Linked DNA regions of Ovis aries. The protein of the gene in region 1 interacts with the protein of each later gene in a biochemical or structural test. Links are inferred from orthologs where the notes say so. Each region holds a gene or a part of one and is shown in the gene's direction. Other genes may lie near its edges.

Region 1 (3,262 bases):
GCTTCACTGTGAAACTTCTGATGGGGAAGCAGCGAGTCTGAGGGGAGGGACCCAGGCTGCCATCATAACCAGCCCCATCCCTCCAGGGAATGACATCTTTCTGGTGGCTGTGCACGAGCTAGGCCATGCCCTGGGCCTTGAGCATTCCAACGATCCCTCGGCCATCATGGCACCCTTTTACCAGTGGATGGACACAGAGAACTTCGTGCTGCCCGATGACGACCGCCGGGGCATCCAGCAACTTTATGGTAACTAACCTATGCCCACATCTGCTCCTTTCTCTCTGCTGCTTGTCTCCTCCAGCTCTCTCTGGCCTGGGCATTTCCCCCTCCCTCATGCCCTACAGTCTTCCCGTTCCCCCACCCCTGCCCCATGACTCCACCTCCATCGGCCCCACTTCTGACCGCACCCTTTCTGTCCTTTCCCAGCTGATTGCTTCAGTCTCCCCCCAAGGTGTTTTCTGCCCATGTGCCTGTCCTTTCCTCCTACTCTGCCAAAGTCTGAAGTGCCCCTCATGTTCCAGGGAGTAAGTCAGGATCCCCCACCAAGATCCCCCCTCAACCCAGGACCACCTCCAGGCCTTCCATCCCCGATAAGCCCAAAAATCCCACCTACGGGCCCAACATCTGTGACGGGAACTTTGACACCGTGGCCATGCTTCGAGGGGAGATGTTTGTCTTCAAGGTAAGAGGAAGAGGTGGGCTGGTGTGGGGGACAAAAGGGCTCTATGACCAGGTGGCAGGGTGGGCACAGAAGCAGGAGGACGAAGCACTGTGAAAGTGAAGTCGCTCAGTCGTGTCCAACTCTCTGCGATCCCGTGGACTGTAGCCTACCAGGCTCCTCCATCCTTGGGATTTTAAGGCAAGAGTACTGGAGTGGGTTGCCATTGCCTTCTCCAGGAGATCTTCCTGACCCAGGGATCGAACCCGGGTCTCCCGCATCGTAGGCAGACGCTTTACCATCTGAGCCACCAGGGATGTCAACCTATAAAACTGAGGCAATGGGGGAGTTTTGGGGACTGAGCTGGAGGACAAAGCTAAAGACTGAATGAACTGCCTCCCAGGAGCGTTGGTTCTGGCGCGTGAGGAAAAACCAGGTGATGGATGGATACCCCATGCCCATTGGCCAGTTCTGGCGGGGCCTGCCCGCATCCATCAACACTGCCTATGAGAGGAAGGATGGCAAGTTTGTCTTCTTCAAAGGTAACCAGACATTCTACCGTAGTCTTTGGGTGTGGGCGGGGCTCCCTGAAGGAGCATGTTCCACTTGGCTCCTCCAAAGACCCAGGTGGAATGAGATCCTGCCCTCCCCTCCCCGCCCCAGGAGACAAGCACTGGGTGTTTGACGAAGCTTCCCTGGAGCCTGGGTACCCCAAGCACATTAAGGAGCTGGGCCGAGGACTGCCTACTGACAGGATTGATGCTGCTCTCTTCTGGATGCCCAACGGAAAGACCTATTTCTTCCGAGGAAACAAGTAAGACCTCACCTTCCTCCTCACACACCACCCACCAGATTCCCTCAATTCTAGTGGAAGACCCACTTGCCCCCCGAGATGTCTCCCTGAAGAAGGCACTGGCTGAGCCTCTGCTGTTGCCTAGCAACAGGCAGCCTCCTTTGGGTTCTGAGTGAGTGGGATATGACCCGGTCACCATCATTTTAGACCTGGTCATTTGACGCCTTCTGCCCCCAGCACCATGCCTCCGCCCCAGCTGCCAGGCACTGTCATTAAGGGCTGCTGGTGGCTCCTTGCAGCCTGGGCCCTCCCACCCCCAGCTTCCGCTGCTTTCAGCTCCAGGCCCTCATTAGTCAAAACCCCTGTCCCCCACCCTTTGCTCACTGGTGAATTCAGTCCCAGGTCACTCCCCTCAGAGGATGTGCCCAGTGTCAAGCCGCTTCCTTTCCCCGCCTCTCCTCTAGGTACTACCGTTTCAACGAGGAGCTCAGGATAGTGGAAAGTGAATACCCCAAAAACATCAAGGTCTGGGAAGGAATCCCTGAGTCTCCCAGAGGGTCGTTCATGGGCAGCGATGAAGGTGAGAGGGGCACGGGAGGTGTCAGTGAAGGGAGGACAGGCACAAGGAGTTAAGGAAGAGCAGGGCGAAAGACCGAGAGTGTTGGGTAGAAAATGGATGATGCTGAGAACCGGGGAGCCCTGTGCCGGGCCCTCAGTGCTTCCTGCGTTTCAGACCCTTCGATCTGCCCCACTCTCTGAGCCTGGTGCTGTAGTTACCTGGCTTCACAGCTGAGGAGACGGGTGCTCAGAAAGGTGAGGGGATGAGCTCAGCGGGCTCGCACACTTACTGGTTTTCTTCCCCTCTGCTTCTCTCTTTGGCTCTGCTCCGGACACCGCGTCCACCTCCCGGCTTCCATGCCACCCTCTTGCTGACCCTGCAGTCTTCACTTACTTCTACAAGGGGAACAAGTACTGGAAATTCAACAACCAGAAGCTGAAGGTTGAGCCGGGCTACCCCAAGTCAGCCCTGCGGGACTGGATGGGCTGCCCGTCATCGGGGGGCCAGCCAGATGAGGGGACTGAGGAGGAGACAGAGGTGATCATCATCGAGGTGGACGAGGAAGGCAGCGGGGCAGTGAGCGCGGCCGCCGTGGTGCTCCCGGTGCTGCTGCTGCTGCTGGTGCTGGCGGTGGGCCTCGCCGTCTTCTTCTTCAGACGGCACGGGACCCCCAAGCGACTGCTCTATTGCCAGCGCTCCCTGCTGGACAAGGTCTGACCCCCACTGCCGCCCGCCCACTCCTACCACGAGGACTTTGCCTCTGAAGGCCAGTGGCAGCAGGTGGTGGTGGGTGGGCTGCTTCCGCCCGGCCCCGGCCCCAGCCCCAGCCCTCCCCCTGTCCCTTTTTCTCTGTCCCATGACTGGCCTCTCCCACCCTCCACGCTGGCATTGCTTCTTCCCTAGATGGGTCCCCCCGGGGGTCTGAGCAGGGGCCGCCCTCCCAGCCCCTGCCCCTCAGGGGCCCCCATGGCTTGGTGTGTGTTCAGCCCCATCTGAATGTCTGGGCTCTGCACTTGAAGGCAGGACCCTCAGACCTCGCTGGTAAAGGTCACATGGGGTCATCTGCTCCTTTTCCATTCCCTGACATACCTTTAACCTCTGAACTCTGACCTCAGGAGGCTCTGGGCACTTCAGCTCCGCGATCCCCTAGGTGTACCCAGTTGGCAGCCTCCCGCCACTCCCTCTGGCTAAAAGAAATCTAATCCTGTTGTGGTGGGAGGAGACCCTGAGTGAGAGAGTGTGGGTTACAC
Region 2 (3,813 bases), on another chromosome or scaffold:
CCCATACTGGCGATGGTGGCGGTTCTCTGTTTCAGAAATGAGTAGCTGCGTCCCAGCAAGGTCAGGGAGCTTCCCTGAGGCTGTGTCACAGGGAGGGGCTACAGCAGGATGGAGTCCCGGTGCTGCCCACTTTCAAATCAGGACCCAGACTGCCCGGGAGCTTTAGGAGCTTTTAGGAGAGAAAAATGCATGGACCTTATTGTGTGGAATCGAATGGGGTCTCTTGGCTATTTGGAAGTACTTTTTGCTTATTTTCCTTTAAAAAAAAAAAAATCGGTTTCAGTGTAGTTGATTTAAGTGCTGTTAATTTCTGCTGTACAGCAAAGTGATTCGGTTATATTATATACATTCTTTTCATATGCTTTTCCATTTATGATTTATCACCAAATATTGAATATAGTTCTCTGCGCTGTATAGTAGGACCTTGCTGTTTACCCATCCTGCATATAATAGTTTACATCTGCTAATTTCAAATTCCCAATTCCTCCTTCCCCCTACACCCCTTCCCCTGGACAGCCAGAGTTCTGTCTGTCTATGTTTCATGGATATTGTTCATTTGTGTCTTTTTTTTGGATTCCACATGTAAGTGATACCATACGGCATTGGTCTTTTTCTGACTTGCTTCACTTAGTGTGATAATCTCTAGGTCTATCCACATTGCTGCGAATGATATGATTTTATTCTTTTTTATGGCTGAGTGACAAGGATGAAATGTTACGCATCCATTCATCTGTCAGGGGGCATTCGGGTTGTCTCTGTGTCTTGGCTAATAGTGCTGCTTTGAACATGAGGGGGAGTCTATGTATCTTTTTGAACTACCGTTTTATCCAGATATATGCCCAGCAATAACATTGCTTGATCATAGGACAGCTCTAGATTTAGTTCTTTGAGGAGCTCCATCCTGTTTTCCATAGGGGCTGCACCAGCTTACCTTCCCACCAGCAGTATAGAGGGCTCCCTCTTCAGCATATGTTATTTGTAGACTTTTTAACGATGGCCCTTCTGACTGATGAGCAGTGTTACCTCATGGTAGTTTTGACTTTTTGCTTGTTTTCTGATGGTCAGCAGAGTGTTTATTGAACACCTATGAGGCAGTAAGCGTTGTGCAGAGTGCTGGGCCTCTGAACAATAGTAGCAAACAGCTTCAAGAAGCATTCAGGACTGGGTACACCACCACAATGCAGTTTGGCAGCAATGCTTCTTCTAGACCTGTGATCTCCTTTGGATGTTCCTGGTTCATTTGATAGCAGGCGCTGAGGACGATACTATGAAAGAGCAAGCTTAGGACAGACTGATCTGATGTTTACTCATGTGCAGAAAAACTTCCGTGCAGTGTTGCGATAAGGTATAGACTAGGCAGGTTGTAAGAGGGACCAAGACAAACCTCGCCTGTGTTGCCATCCAGTTATCTCAGGTTCAGCTCAGCAAATAGAGCTAACTGTTCTATGGTTAGAACATAGCTTCTGCCTGTTCGAAGCTCCCTCGTCTCTGCGTAAACAAGGGTACGGGTGTTTATAGCAAAATGGATGAGAGGTGTGGGATATACACCAAGTGCCACGAGAGGACAGGATTTCCCGGGTGGAAGATGGAGAAGGGCTATTTCAGCTGGGTCTTGAAGGATGAATAGAAGTTCTCCAGGTAGCGAGGAGATGGCATTCAGGGCTGAAAATATGGACACCTCTGGGCAGGTTCAGATTCAGCAAGTATTATGGACTGGTAGAACAAACAAGAGCGGGTGACCACCAAGGCAGCTGAAACAATCACTGGCTGGTACCAGGTCGCCAGGAGGACATTTAGAGGGCGGCAGTGGGCAGCCAAGGAAGATGCTTGAGCTGGATGGGGTGTGGCTGTGAAAAGGCAACACGTGCTGGGGTGGGAAGATGGGTGGAGGGGTGGGAAGAAACACTGAGATCAGGATGACCTGTTACAAGGGCTAGGCCCTCTGTTCTGGCGTGGCCCACCGCTTGGCATTTCCTGGATGTGGCTTCGTAGGTTGGGGCCTGGCTCAGCCTGGGAAACAGGAACCTGTGGCCTCGGCCAGTCATGACTCAGCGCCAACAGAAGGAAAAATCAGGGTGGCTTTGGGCCGGAGCAGGGCATTGGAGCTGTGGTGTGGGGCTCTGGTGCCAGGCTGGGGTCCAGAGAGCATTTAGGGGATCCAGGGGGGTGGGCACAGACGGGGGTCTGTGTCCTGGACCTCCCTGCTCTGCAGGAAAAGACAGCCCTGGCCAGGGGCTGAGACTCCAGCCGCTCACTGGGGTGGAGGGTGGGAGGCTCCTCCAAGCCAGGCCCTGTCTGCTCCTTGCTTCTCTATTTTGCTCACACCCATGCTCACGTGACACTCATCCACAGTGACCCTGAACAGCCGAATCTTGAAGGACAAAGCTTTTAAAGCCATTAGAATGGCCTGTGCCACCAGCTGATGAGCCTCAAAATGAAAAAAGGGAGGGAGGGCTCTGCCCAAGTGACAGCGTGAGCTGTTGATCCCCGCCTGCCAGGTTATGGGGCAGAGCAGGGTCCCGGCTTAATTGCTAGTAGGAAGCCCTGGGTTGCAAGGTCCACGAGCAACCTCAGGCCTCAGGGAACATTCCGGAACCTTCCCAGCCTGACCTCTTCCCCACTCCTCCATCTCGTGTCAAGGTCCAGGACCATCCTTTGTGTTTTGGCCTTTGCCCTCGGCATCTGTCCCTTTTTTCTGCCACTGATGCTCTTAAATGTCTCCTCCTCCCGTTCCACACCCTTTGGGTTAAAATGTTTGACCTCCCTCTGCCATTGCCTCTGATAGAATGTGTGTTATTACAAAAAGCAGCCCCAGGACATTTCTCAGGGACATGCAGAGGACGGATTCAGAGGCTGGCAGGATAGACTTTTTTGATGTCAGACCTCCAACCTAAATATGATGGGGCCTCTTGCAGGAAGGTAACTCCCCCTCTACCTTCAGCCTGAAAAAGCCTGACTGACTGTAGGCTATGGGAGGAGGCGGGCGGGGTGGGGCTCTCACCATCCTTAACTGCACGATCAGGATGGCCGGCCAGTCAGTGTGCTCATCTGCTCTCCCAGCCACTGATACATACACATTGGAGAGAAAGGGAAAAAAGCCCCAGAGTCCCAATGTATGAGATCCACAGTGATCCTTGATCAAATCAGTGATGGCCTCCGCCACCCCCTGGTCTTGAGGGACAAGAGCTGCTCTGGGGTCCTGTCAGCAGAGGGCTCTGGTGTCACTCCTGGTCTGCCCCTTCTGGATGGAGTCCAGTGCTGTGCCCAGGCTGGGATTGCCTGCCCTTGCCTCCCGCCTCCCTGCTGCCAACTCCGCCCAAATCCCCTCAACCTCGGAGCCAGGACGGTCTTGCGGGGGACTCTGCTCACCTTTGCATCTTTGTTTCACAGTGATCAGGGCCAAAGCGGTCAGTAAGAAGGAGGTGGACTCTGGCAACGACATCTATGGCAACCCCATCAAGCGGATTCAGTATGAGATCAAGCAGATAAAGGTAACGGTGGCCGTCCTGGGGTTGCTGTGTCCAGCAGAGCCGTGGGAGGTTTGGGAGTGTGGCAGGGTGTCCCGCTGTCTCAGTGCGCCTCTAGGTCCCTAGAACTGGCCCAGCCACGCGTGGGGCGGACGGTGAGGAGCAGGGGCATCAAGCTGCAGGTGGATCTGATTCTCCTTAATCTGTAAATGCCAGAGAACCTGTGTGCACATGGTGTGTTCCCATCGGCTCAGTTCTTCCAGAAATGTGTTATCTTCACTCTGGTGGCTATAAATCAGTGGCAGAGCTTCAGCGTTAAGTCACCAACTTCACAGCTTCTGTGGAA

What was found.
Region 2: the proteins of MMP14 (region 1) and TIMP2 form a complex in vitro, tested with the Homo sapiens proteins (2 studies listed by BioGRID). The link is inferred for Ovis aries from reciprocal best matches to the Homo sapiens genes MMP14 and TIMP2.

Annotation. Positions count from the first base shown.
Region 1 is NC_056060.1:21,789,628-21,792,889, reverse strand, and holds the end of MMP14 (matrix metalloproteinase-14 precursor), read left to right. Parts: intron 1-86; coding exon 87-248; intron 249-523; coding exon 524-684; intron 685-1,063; coding exon 1,064-1,202; intron 1,203-1,323; coding exon 1,324-1,474; intron 1,475-1,917; coding exon 1,918-2,033; intron 2,034-2,394; coding exon 2,395-2,729; downstream 2,730-3,262.
Region 2 is NC_056064.1:52,834,796-52,838,608, forward strand, and holds part of TIMP2 (metalloproteinase inhibitor 2 precursor), read left to right. Parts: exon of another isoform or gene 1-2,805; intron 2,806-3,390; coding exon 3,391-3,491; intron 3,492-3,813. UniProt on the Homo sapiens protein: Complexes with metalloproteinases (such as collagenases) and irreversibly inactivates them by binding to their catalytic zinc cofactor. Known to act on MMP-1, MMP-2, MMP-3, MMP-7, MMP-8, MMP-9, MMP-10, MMP-13, MMP-14, MMP-15, MMP-16 and MMP-19.